2 linked regions of the Sus scrofa genome follow. The protein of the gene in region 2 purifies or fractionates together with the protein of the main gene of each other region. This does not show direct contact. Links are inferred from orthologs where the notes say so. Each region holds a gene or a part of one and is shown on either strand. Other genes may lie near its edges. The genes, in order: LCP2 and FYB.

Evidence for each region.
Region 1: the proteins of FYB (region 2) and LCP2 purify together in Homo sapiens (co-immunoprecipitation; 6 studies listed by BioGRID and IntAct, with this or other methods). This does not show direct contact. The link is inferred for Sus scrofa from reciprocal best matches to the Homo sapiens genes FYB1 and LCP2.

The regions. Positions count from the first base shown.
Region 1 is NC_010458.4:53,694,525-53,701,472, reverse strand, and holds the start of LCP2 (lymphocyte cytosolic protein 2), read right to left. Parts: upstream 4,500-6,948; 5' UTR 4,025-4,499; coding exon 3,947-4,024; intron 1-3,946. UniProt on the Homo sapiens protein: Adapter protein primarily involved in signaling pathways within T-cells, as well as other immune cells such as platelets, mast cells, and natural killer (NK) cells.
Region 2 is NC_010458.4:24,364,049-24,370,274, forward strand, and holds part of FYB (FYN-binding protein), read right to left. Parts: intron 4,758-6,226; coding exon 4,738-4,757; intron 4,039-4,737; coding exon 4,004-4,038; intron 2,828-4,003; coding exon 2,707-2,827; intron 778-2,706; coding exon 618-777; intron 118-617; coding exon 1-117. UniProt on the Homo sapiens protein: Acts as an adapter protein of the FYN and LCP2 signaling cascades in T-cells. May play a role in linking T-cell signaling to remodeling of the actin cytoskeleton. Modulates the expression of IL2. Involved in platelet activation.

The sequences.
Region 1 (6,948 bases), about 29 Mb from region 2:
TCAAATCAGAGCTATATCTGCCGGCCTACACCAGAGCCACAGCAATGCAGGACCTGAGCCACGAGCCACGTCTGTGACCTACACCACCACTTATGGCAACGCCGGATCCTTAACCCACTAAACGAGCCCAAGGATTGAACCTGCAACCCTATGGCCCCTAGTCAGACTCGCTTCCGCTGCGCCACAACGGGAACTCCAATAAGAGAACAGATTTAAGTGCAGATGAACATCCCATGCAGACCACAGTCTAGAACGTCGTGGATAGTCTCCTGCATACAGTTTTTTTCTTCTGTTTTAAATGGTTTAATTTAGATTTTCGGATTGGAGTTGTAGAATCAACAGGAATGATCATTCTAGGGTCTGGGTTGCTTTTCTAAAGGGTCCCCTCAATTAACAATTGAATCAGGTGCCTGTTTTCCTTCATCCTCAACAGCATAAGCATTTGCATGTGAAATATCTCTAAATGATTTGACGTCTCAGGCTAGAGTATTTAAGATTAAATGCTTGTCTTGAGAATCCTAGCTTCTCTTCACAAGGATGGGGCTTGCAGTTTGTATGGCCGCCTTATTTCAGAGCAAACTTAAAATCTTGGCCTTTTCTTACAGCCAGCACATCTAAAGCGTGAATGCAGTTGCTCTAACCTCAAGGCCTGCTAGGGTAGGATGGTTATGAGAAAGCTCAGGAGAAGCTGATTTAGGGGTCATGTAGAAAACAAGCAGCCTCTGTGGAACGCCAAGCACCCCTTTTATCTACATACTGTGGGGTAAAATGGTTCTTAGAATATTCAGCTGCTTTTTTTTTTTTTTTTTTTTTCTTTTTTCTTTTTTGGCCACCCAGCAGCATATGGAGTCCCCGGGCCAGGGATCAGATCCGAGCCGCAGTTGCGACCTAAGCCATAGCTGCAACTACACCAGATCCTTAACCCACCGCCCTGGGCCAGGGACTGAACCTATGTCCCAGCACTCGCAAGATGCTGCCAATCCTGTTGCGCCACAGCAGGAACTCCTCAGTTGCCTTTAATTCATTGTTTTCTCATCATTATCAGTTGACTCTCTGATTTTGCAGAATGCTGGCTTGGACTCTAGATAGACACACAGCCCTGCAGACTGGGGCCTGCCTGGGAGTTTGATTCTGAGCCAGTAATATCTAGGCCTGGGGGCAGCAGTATTTCTATCATATGCTTAGATGATTCTTTTGAGTGCTCAGCTTTGGTTGGCACTGGTCTGGGGGAGGTCCCTAGTGTTGTAGCTAGGCCCGGAGAAGGGAAGGGACTGGCCTAAGGTCACACAGTGAGCTGGGGACAAAACCAGGATTAGAACTCACAGCTCTCTGGAAGTTCCGATTGTGACTCAGCGGTAGCAAACCTGACAGGTATCCATGAGGATGTGGGTTTGATCCCCAGCCTCGCTCAGTGGGTTACGGATCTGGTGTTGCTATGAGCTGTGGTGTAGGTCACAGACTCGGCTAGGATCCTGCATTGCTGTGGCTGTGGTGTAGGCTGGCAGCTATAGCTCCTTTTCAACCCCTAGTCTGGGAACATCCATATGCTACAGGTGTGGCCCTAAAAAGAAAAAAGAAAAAAAGCCCCTCATAGCTCTAAGCCAAAGTCTCCTCCACTGCATGGCCCAGGATGTCTTCCTGCCGTGCCAAAAGAAGTCCAAGAGTTAAAGAGACATAAAACATGACCTCAGTCCTCAGAGGCCTGCGTTCCAGACAGAGGATGAGCTGCACGTAGCTGAGATGGTGAGACACAAAGGCCCAGTGATCTGCATGATGTCCCCAGCGAGGGTCCAGTGAGCAGAGCAGGAGAAAGGGAAGATCAAACACGAATGGGCCCCCCTCTGCTAAAGGCCTCACACATGCATTGCCTTTGATTCTCCCAGTGATCCTGTGAGGTTAGTCACCGTTAGGATCTCTCTTTTACTGATGAGAAAGCCAAGGCACAGAGAGGTGAAGTAACCAAGGGAAGGTCACCGAGCCAGCAGGTGGCAAAGCCAAGATTCAAACCAAGGTGTGTCTGGCTCCAGAGCTGGCTAGGGAGGTACTTCCAAGGGGGCAGGCCCCCAGTGCTTCATTAGAAGTCATAGCTGCCAATAGGACTTTTGCTGGCTAAGGTCTTTCCCCAGATGACTCCATGGTCAGTTCACGTGGCATTTGCTCTCTGGGGGAACTGAGGTGCTGAGGGTTTGAAGAGTGTCTCTCTGCGTCTGTGGGGATGCTGGGACCTCCTGGCTCCCAGGTGTCCCTCGGTCTCCTCATTCCTGCCCTCAGACCTTTCCTGCTGGGAGAGGGAACCTGTCCAGGTGCTGTGGACTCTACCCAGAGTCTGAGGTCTCCACAAAGAAAACTCTTCCTTCCCCCAACTCAGGCAGAGAGCCTTCACCCTGAATCATTCTGACATGTAGTCTATCTCCCTGTACTAAGGGGAACTTTACCCATGAATTCTTCAATTGCTGTACAGGGTTATGTAATTCCTATCACATTGGAGATGGGGCCTGTCTCTGCTTCTCAATCCATCCCCAAGTATGCCTCAGTAATTCCTAATTCTTTTCTCCTTTCTTTATTGAGGCAATATGCCACTTTAGAGCACCTTAGTAAATTTCACATGTGGCTCTAATGTATTTGGTCTACATTTAAGGAAAGTATTTAAAAACACCCTTCGAAAGTCGGTTATCTCAATGATCTTTGTACCCGCAGTGCTGAAACCTAAGTTTTTATGATCTTTTGGAGGTAAAAATAACAGAAATGACATGCACAAAGAAAACCCAGCAAGTAACAGGATCTGTGGGCTGTGCCTCTATCATGCCACACCCGCTTCAACATTTTCACATTTTTCTTAGGCAAGAACAGCAGTAACAGGAAATACCCTGGTACCATATAGACCCCAAGCTGGGCTATGTGTCCCAGGGAGCCAAGGCCACCCCCAAGGAAAACAGAACATCGACTTAATAACCTCTAAGTTCTGCACTTAAAAGTCTTATCTTTGTTATAATTCAGAGTATCAACCGAATTTGATGTCACCCTCCAGAGATGGGGTGTTAGAAACTCAAATGTCCCTCATAAGACATCGTATACCTTGGACAAGGACAGAGGGTACCTAACTGAGTCAGGTGGCTTGGGATCTGCCCACGCAGATGTGCCACTGCAGCCCCACCAGCAGATGACCAAGCACAGGGATCTTTGAGCATCTTCAAGGCTGGAAGGCAGGACAAAAACACCCTGGTCTCCGCCACAACCTTGGCCTCTGACCCCCACCCCAGCAAATCTTTTTCTCTTTAGGGACCCCAGTTTCCCTAGCTATAACCTAGGGCTCATGTCAGTCTCCTGGGCTGCCTCAAAAGACCCTCATACAGCTCCAGTGAGACTCTGTCCAGGTAAGGGCCTGAAAAGTTCTCTTTCAAGGTCACGAGCAATGACTTGCCCAGACACCCTCTCCAGCATCGTTCATCATAGCCTCTGACCTCGTCTTTCTTCTCTTGTCCCCCAAGACTCCTTGTCTCCACTTTCTAGCAAGTAGCCTCACTAGCAGGTACCACAGTTCTGAGTCTCAGAGCAGGGACTTTGAAACCAGACAGGTGTGACTGGAATCCGGCCTCTGTCATATGTAGTCCCTGGGGCTTTGGGCTGGTTAGCCTCCCTGAGCTTATTTTGCAGCTGAGCAGGGAGGACGGCGATCCTGTAGGGAGCTGAGTGGGACCGGGCCTAAAGAGCACAAACTCCAGCCCTGGCACCTAGGAGGTCCGTGTCCCTTTGAGACCTCTCTTCTCCCCAGAAGGCACTGCCAGCAGCACTCAGCAGCAAATGTCTATCTATGGTGCTGGCTTGGCTGGCGAGATGGCACCGGGCTGGATGTTCCGCTGCTATCTGTCACGCCTCTCAGGTTCTGCCCAGGCTCCATCCTCAAGTACCTCCCCAGCCCCGCCACTCACAAAAGAGTAAGGCTCACCTTCTTGAAATAGTCTGCGAGGCTGTCGGCGTCCCAGGCCAGAACCTCGGAGCGAAAGGGCACGTTCCTGAATGCCATGGCTGCTCACGAGCTGCGTGTGGCTGTTGCGCCCATGGACAGAGAACCCCAAATCCAGAGCACAGAGGCGTCCTTGGCTCTTCCAACTCCCAGGTACTCTCTGGAAAAGCCTCGTTGGAGCAGACGTCCTTTCTGCTGTAGCCCGATCCCAGAAAGCAACAGCTTCCTCTGCGAACAAATATGGTCTCTTCTCAGAAAACGACTCAGCAAGTTTCCTTTACCACTTCCTCTGCCGGGCTCTAAATAAGTAAACAAGGAAGCCCAACTCTGGGGGCTTGAGAGTCAGAGAGAACTACAGGGCTGGTAATTCCCCACTGGCCTGTCCACGCAGCCCAGGGAGGGGTGATCAAGGGGAGTTCGAAGTTTCCATTAAAATCCCTGCACTCGTATGTCTGAACTACATTCCTGCTCATCTGGGTCTTTGCAGATGAAATCTAACTTGACGGTTGACCTAAAATGTAGACAATCTCCCCCATCAGTGAAGGGGAAGGAACGTGACCTTTTAATGCCTCCACCCCCCACTGGGTTTCTCAGAAGGATCAAGTTGAGCTTCTTTGGGTTGCCTCCTTATAGATACTATGAGAGCATCCTCTGTGAGCGGGTTGATGACTGGGGCATCCAGGGCTGAGAAGGGGCTCCCCTGGGCAGACCCCGCTTAATTTCTGATGTGACTGTTTCCCTGCTGTGCAACCTCAGGCAAGGACCTAAACTCTAGGAAGCTCAGTTTCCGTACCTGTAAACTGGGATCGCGGAAGAATTGCTGCTTTGTGTGCGTGTAAAACTGAGATGCATTTAACTAGACAAACTTAAGGGGGGAAAGTTAAAGGAAGAAGTAACAGTCGCTGTTGATGCTGTCACATTTTATAGTCACCATGTTCCCACCATATATTGTATTTATTATTAATTTCTCCATATATTTTATGTAAAGAGCACATCCCTGGAGACAGGCAATGGGACTCACCTATTTTCTCAGTCCGTCTCAGACTCTGTACGCTTCTTGTATTGGAGACTCTCCTTCACTGAGGGTGAGTCCAGTGTCTAAAAGCAAACATACGTGTGCACCATCACAGCCTCCAAACACAAGTTCGCCGCTCTATCTAGTGCTCCGTGCACACACACACAGAGATGGCCATCTATCCAGTGGCTTGAAAAATGAACCACGCTCTGTTACACTTACTGAGTGATGTTAAGTTGCCCCCGAGGTGGCGCCTTCCCGAAGCTTTCTCAAGGCGAGCTTTGGCCATGCACAGTTCCCATCTTATGTATAATCTAAGCAGCCCCGTCCTCACTGCAGTGCACCTGCCTGGCCAGGTGGTTGTGCCAATGAGGTCTGCACTGCCCAGGCTTAGGACCTTCCTGGAAGCGCTCTAGGAACCTGAGCTGATGTCATCCTCACCTCAGAGGATGCTGGGGACCTTAACTGAAGCAGCCCAGGCCAAGTGCTGCTCACAAGGCTGGAACCTAAGAGCTCTTAATAATGGGTCGTGCTCTCCAGCGCATAGCCTGCTGTTCCAAAGCTCCACCACTGGTGGGAGAGGTCACTTCATTTTTCAAATCCCCAGGAGAGCTGCCAATGATAAAAAACCATTTGAAAAGAGAGGAAGAGAGAGAAATCACATCCAAGTAGGGCAATCAAAGAAGATGTAATCGGATTAGTTGGAGTTGAAGCAGGGCCTTGGAATATGCCGAGGGAAGGCATTCTGAACCTGAGTATGCATGCGTGTGGGGGTGGGGGTGGGGGGTGTGTTGGGCTGTACTTTGTGAACAAAGCACATCACATCTGTAGAAAGGAGCATTCACGATCATCAGCCTTAGAAGGAAAAGCGATTTTGAAAGTAGTGTTCACCCACACTCCCAAGAAAAAAAAACATCTACAGGAAAGCAGAAGTTGGAATTAAGGTATAGCTAAATATTTAGGCTCTTCTGGCAGAATTATGCAATAAAAGTGCCAAGATGGACAATCCATGGAGCCTGTTTAGAAGAGAGACACAGGGGTTAAGGAGCCTGAGTGGCAGTGATGACGGTGATGAGAATTGTCACAAATCAATGTGTGGGGCCCTTCATCTGGGCCAAGGAGGGGGCTGAGGACTCTGCAGTCATTGTCTTAATTTATTGTTGGCACTATTATAATTCCTATTTTCCGGAAGAGAAAGCTGAGGCTCAGAGAAGTGGAGCTCCTTGCCCCCCTTGCTCCAGCATGTAGATTGCATGAAAGGATCTTGTCTGGAACCCTCTCTGAGCCCAGAGCCCCTGTCCCTTACATCTCTGCCACCGTGGGGCTCTGAGATGTGACATAAATTGCCCTAGGTGGAGCAGGGCTTCAAACTCAACTCTGTCTCCAGAGCCTGTGCAGTTTCCATGGAGAGCAAGTGGGGTTGTCAGTCTGGTCCCGTTCAGAAGAGGACAGAGCCCTTTCTGTGAGGCAGGCTTTGGTGTGCCCTCCCCACAGGGGAGCTGCCCAGAAAGAGCAGCTGATCCGGGACAGACGGTGGCGAAAGGGGAAGCTGGTTGCGTCGGCCAGCAGCCTCTCTGCTTCCCCAGTCCTCGGTAATTGCCCAACACTCAGGAGTTTCACATCTCCTGTCTCCGGCTAGAGCCTCCAGAAGTCCTAGGGGCAGGGCAAGCTGGTCCCCAAAAGAGGATCAGAACACCAGAGAGACCAAGAAGGCCCTGGACAGGCCAGCTCACTTGGTCCAGCCCCAGGCCCCACACCTGTAACAAGGGCCGTGATGACAGAGGTCTCAGCAAACAGCCCTCGGCCAAGGAGCTGGTGCAGCGAGGAGGGCAGGGGCCCACGCGCAGCCATCCTCCAGAGAGCATCAGTCTAGGCTGCAAGCTTGAAGCAGAGCAGAGAGTGGGGAGCAGGTAAGGCACAGGGATTGGAGCCGTGGCCTGGGGCAGGGCCGGGTGGGGGCTCCTCACCC
Region 2 (6,226 bases):
CATCATATACTTCCTGGTCATCTTCAACAGGTCTTGATGAAAGGGCACCAAGAGAGGTTTTTTTCCGTTTCAAGGAATCATAGTCAATCTCTACCGCCGTTGTTTTAATATAGCCGTCTACCAAAAGGGGAATGACTCATGTTCAGTAACTGAAGTTTAAATATCCTAGAGTTGTTATTCACTGCACATTTGCTCTCTAAATCTTCCCTTTATTTCTTTGCTTGCAATTCTGATTTACAGACTTCCTAGGCTCGCTCACTGTACCTTGTCAAGTCTTAACACTGTTGTGGTTTGGGATAAGCCTTGAATCAGTTTTCGAGATTCCAAGGTGATTCATACGAACCATTTTTGTCTTTTAACGTCCGTGAAGCATCTAATGCTCTTTGCTCCTCCCTGGAATAATATAAATGTTTGCATTTTTTTCCCCCACTAAAAAGATTACACAGATGAGGTGAAAATGGAGCCATGCCCGTCCTTTAAAAATCTTCTCATCTTTGTCCACCCTATAACATACTTGCAACTTAATGCCTATGAAAGTAATGCCTGTTGGAAGAATTTTCACATTCATATTGGCCCAAAAAGAAAACACTTTGAAGTTTTAGGAAACTGGCACTCACAGGACCCCTTGGCTGTTCGGCCCAGCCATTTCCCTTCAGGGTTGTCTGTGATGCGGATTATTTCAATTTGCTCTCCTTGCTTGACACTCAGTTCATTTTTCCCTCCTTTGACATCACAGCAAGCTTTTGCTTGATGGATGACTTGAATAGGGCCCGTGAGCTGCAAAGAGGGGGAAAAAAAATTACAAATTCATATTTAGTGGCATGATTTCTATATCCTATTTTTTCTTACTAACAAATATTATTTGAATGAATAAGCCAAACAATGTGATTTTTCAGAAAAAAACCACAATGAAAATCTTTATATAATTCCTTCAAAACTATAAACAATCTCTTTATAATAGATATGCTATAAAATTTTTCATTTAAGAAATTAGTTTTTCATGTTTTACGCTTGAAAATTTCTAAACGCTCGTAACCATATAGACTGTATGATTAAAATGTTTTGATGTTCATACTGCAATCTTAGTTTTAATTATATATAGTAAGAAAAACTGAATGAGAACCTATAAATGATACAGCACCTTATGTGCATTATTTTATTTAATGCCATAATAAAATTTCAGGAGAGCTATCGTTTACTCACTTTAGAAATAAAAACCTGAGGTTCAGAGAAGCTTAGTAACATGAACACCATCAAATAACTCACAGGTGCATCTGGAATTTCAATGCCCATCTGTTCAACTGAGTCTAAGCTTTACATTTTCCCTGTGCCCTGCTGTTGAATCTTTATTTTATTATAAGAAATATACTGGGAAGTTGTATATAAATCACATTTCTATAATTTAAACCACATATTAAATGTTTTGGAAGAATTAAATATTCAAAGGAAACTTGATAATGTTATCCTTTTTAAAGTGAAGAATAGTTTTGTCACCCAGATAATCACTCTAAATGTAGCTGACATATCAAACCCACACCAGATGGGTCATGTTTTCAAAGACAGACTAGCCAGGCCAGTACGTTCTGCAAGTGCAGTCTTAGTGGTGGCAGTAATAGAAGTCACACAATTAGACATCAGAGAAGACAGAGGTCAGAAATCCAGGCAGATGAAGAGGGATGAGAAAGAGCAAGTATCAGAAGTCAATATGTACACAGGCTTAAAACACAGGCAAAAATGTAAGTCAGGTCTAGACATCAGCCATCAGAGTAGCTTGGAGATTCTGAGACAGGTATGGTTGATCCAGAGACACTCCTGTCCCTTGCCCCACTTTATACATGCCACAGGAATAGCTAAGTGTGTGGGTCTGAGCTCCTATTATAAGTAGGTTAACGTGAAATGCATGATGAGGAGAGTCAAGAAGGGTCTTAAGGAACCAACCAAGTATTCATTCACTCAACCGACGTAGAATTTCTTGAGCTCCAACTATATTTTATTTGGATTTTATGCAACTCATAAGCTGCCATATTTTATCTGAATTTTATTTTTTTAACTTTTAAAAAATTAATTTATTTTTTCTTGTTATGGCTGCACCCACGGCACATGGAAGTTCCCCGGCTAGGGGTTGAATCGGAGTTGCAGCTGTGGTCTATGCCACAGCCACAGCAATATCAGATCTGAGCCACATCTGTGATTTACACCACAGATTTCAGCAATGCCAGATCCTTAACTCCACTGAGTGAGGCCAGGGATTGAACCTGCATCCTCACGGACACTTTGTCAGATTCTTGACCCACTGAGCCACAGTGGGAACTCCTATTTGAATTTTCTTATATTGCATTTTTAGTGCAAGATAAGGGAGAGTATTGGACAAAAACCTTACTGTTATGAAGGTAGTTACTCTTGAAAACAATGATTAAATTTTCCAAATATGTAAGGTTTCAAAAATGGTGCCCCTTTTGTGTGAAAGTTATAAAGAAGTAACTCCTTTTAAAAAAATGTACACGTGCACAACACTGTAAACCAACTATAAGGGAAAAAATAAAAACCATTATATTAAAAAACCCATTATATTAAAAAAAAAAGAAGTTACTCCTTCTGTAAACCAGCTATAAGGGAAAAAAATAAAAGCCATTATATTAAAAAAAACCCATTATATTAAAAAAAAAGAAGTTACTCCTTTTCATTCATTAGCAAGCGAGGTCTTACTTTAAATTTCTTCTTTATTTCTTGTTCTTTCTTTTCTCTCTCTTTTTGTTCTTTTTTCTCCAGCTCTAATCTCTTCTTTTCCTCTTTTTCTCTTTTCTTCTCTTTTTCTTTGGATGCTTCTCTGAGGATAAACATTGTTAGGTTGTTTCAGCATCTGCAGGCATGGATGTGTTAGGGCTCACCCTCCAGAGAGTTCCTGCCCACCACAGAAGGCAGTGTCTGAAGTACAGGTGAAGGCACAAAGCCAAGGCTTGTCAAAATTCCTGGGTGTATGAGATGGTTCTTAAAAACGGCAGAAGGCCTATACATGAGGATACCTTCCAAAGGCTCTGCTACCCCTAAACTCATGCCAGCAAGTAGAAACCACTGTCCATAAACCCTGTTCTTTTTTTTTTTTTTTTTTTTTTTTTTTTTGCTTTTTAGGGCTGCACTTGAAGCATGTGGAAGTTCCCAGGCTAGGGGTCAAATCAGAGCTGCAGGATCTCTAACCCACTAAGCGAGGCCAGGGATTGAACACATGTCCTCATGGATACTAGTCAGCTTCGTTTCCACTGCACCACAACGGGAACTCCCATAAAGGCCCTGCTCTTGAGGCCTGTTGGCATGAATAGCATGCATCTCTCTCTCTCTCTTTCTCTCTCATGTGCACACTCACTGGTACAAGTGCACATACACATGTGTATGTGCAAACCTTAATTCCCAAACTTTTAGTCAGAATTAGTTGAATAAGAACTGGGTAGAGAAAATTAAGGTATCTGAATCAGCAAAAGATAAAATACGATGCTCATTTCTACTTTCCCTCATTTTCTGAGAAATTTAGTCTTGGGCCACCCAGAAGTCTCTTTTGGAGCTATTTTAAACATTTTTTCTGCTTTAGCAGGCCGACACTTTGGCATCTGGTGCTGTGTTGAACTGTCTCTCATGGAACAGTTGTGAGGCGAAGGGCTGCCTAGGTGAGGATTGTGTTACATGGACATGAATGCATTTGCCCAAGGACTTGCCAAGAGTGGGAAATACAGATTCCCACCCCTGGATTCCCTGCCTGTGGGCTATCTAGTGGGGTGTAGGCTCCCAACTCCTTTCACAACGGCATTTGAACAGGGTCCTCTGAAAAATCCTTAGACAAGAAAAGAATCTTTAGTCCCTTGTACTGAAATAAATGTTATCATTATAAGCCCTTTATTTGAACAATAGAGCGTCTCTCCTCTAGTGTTGAATATCTATCTGCACCCCCTCTTACAAATCATTGCATTTATCTTAGAAGGAAAATATCATGGTAAAAAAATGTAATGCATACATGTCTTCATATGTTTCTCCTTCACTCTCTTGCTCCTGTCAAGAAAAACAATGATGATTAATTGTAATTATTTAATAAGGGAACATACACATATTTCATTGCTCAAATACTCAGTAAAACAAACATAAATTTAATTGCATATAAATTTGAATGTTTAAAACATATTTTTTTCCTTTTAGAAGTAGACTGAGAAAATAAACACAAAAAGATTCCATTTTCTATCCAGCTATATAATCCAGATATATAGCCAGACCTGAGCTCATGTTCAGTGCTGCAAAATTACTATGAGTCAGTGTAATAATTGGTGTTTAATGTCTCAAGCATTTCAGATAAAATAAGATTATAAGTGAAAAAATACCATCATTAACTCCAAAGAATTTTCATTTGTTCCTTTACCAATAGAAAATGAATCACAGAGTTGCCATTGTGGCTCAGTAGTAATGAACCCTACTAGTATCCATAGGGCGCAGGTTTGATCCATGGCCTTGCTCAGAGGGTTAAGGATCTGGCGTTGCTGTGCGCTGTGGTGTAGGTTGCAGATGTAGCTTGAATCTGGTGTTGCTGTGGCTGTGGTGTAGGCTGTGGGGTATAGCTCCGATTTGATTTCTAGTCTGGGAACTTCCATATGCTGTGGGTGTGGCCCTTCAAATACAAAAAAAGAAAAAAAGATAATGAATCACAGTAATGGTTAAATATTCTATTGACAGTAATATAAGAAGGAAAGAAAAACTGACCTCATCGAGATTTCCAGTACCTAAAGTATTTAAAAAAAGAATACAATTTAATATACTCTAATTAAGAAGTGGTTTAACATGAATTATGAAATGCAATATAATATTCAAATCAGTTTATAATCTAACAGAACTTTTGCTTTACCCAAGGTATGTAAGTACAAAATAGAACATGTGGTTTAGATCCCTATTATTGCTTTTTTGAATCTTGGAATTTAATTACAAAATCATTTCATTGGCTTTCATAAAATAATGCAAAAACCAAAACATAATGAAGACACTCTTTATTTCTTTATGAAAAATACACATGTTTGATTTTGTGGGCTTGTGTAGAACAAAGGTATGACCAGAAAATCACAACTAGCTCACAGTTTTTGATTTATTTGCTCCCAAGGATTTACTTTCATGTATCAAACAAATCAAGTTAATAGGATTTTTCAAAAAGATATTTTACTGCTCAAGTGTTTAGTAACATCAACAAATTACCAAATATTAAGACATAATATAAAACAATAATAATAAACAGTGTAGTATTGATATTAAAACAAATAGACAATGGAACACAGCAGAGAGCTCAGAAACAGATACCCAAATTACACACATGCAAACAGAAACACACATTATGCACACACAAATACACCATGTGTACAAAGACATAAACACACTAATACAGCTAATACAGTAAAGGTGGCAGTATAAATTAATGAAAAAAGAGTGGATTTCAGAATATAGTGATGAGAAAACTGACTTTACATAAAGAGACAACAAATTTGGATTTCTACAAACTCCTCAAAGGTCAACTGCCAAGAGACCAAAGACCTAAATATAAGTTTCGTAGAAGAAAATAGAAGATAATATTTTTCTCTCCAAATAAAATACCTAGGAATAAACCTGACCAAGGAGGTGAAAGACTTATTTGCTGGCACTATAAAAAAATTTATCAAGGAAGGAGTTTCCGTTGTGGTGCAGTGGTTAACAAATCCAACTAGGAACCATGAGGTTGCAGGTTCGATCCCTGGCCTTGCTCAGCAGGTTAATGATCTGGCGTTGCTGTGAGCTGTGGTGTAGGTCGCAGACACGGCTCAGATCCAGCGTTGCTGTGGCTCTGGCGTAAGCTGGCAGCTACAGCTCCGATTCGACCCCTAGCCTGGGAACCTCCATATGCCATGGGAGCAGCCCAAGAAATGGCAAAAAAAAAAAAAAAAATTATCAAGGAAGTTAAAGAGGATTCAAAGAAATGGAAAGATAACCCATGCTCCTGGATTAGAAGAATTAATATTGTGAATGGCCATACTACCCAGAGCAATCTACAGATTTAATGTGATTCTTATCAAATTACCCATGACATTTTTCACAGAACTAGAACAAATATTCCTAAAATTTATATGGTCCCATAAAAGACCTAGAATTGCCAAAGCAATCTTGAGGGAGAAAAAAAAGGCAGGAGGCATAACTCTCCCAGATTTCAGACAATACTACAAAGCTACAGTAG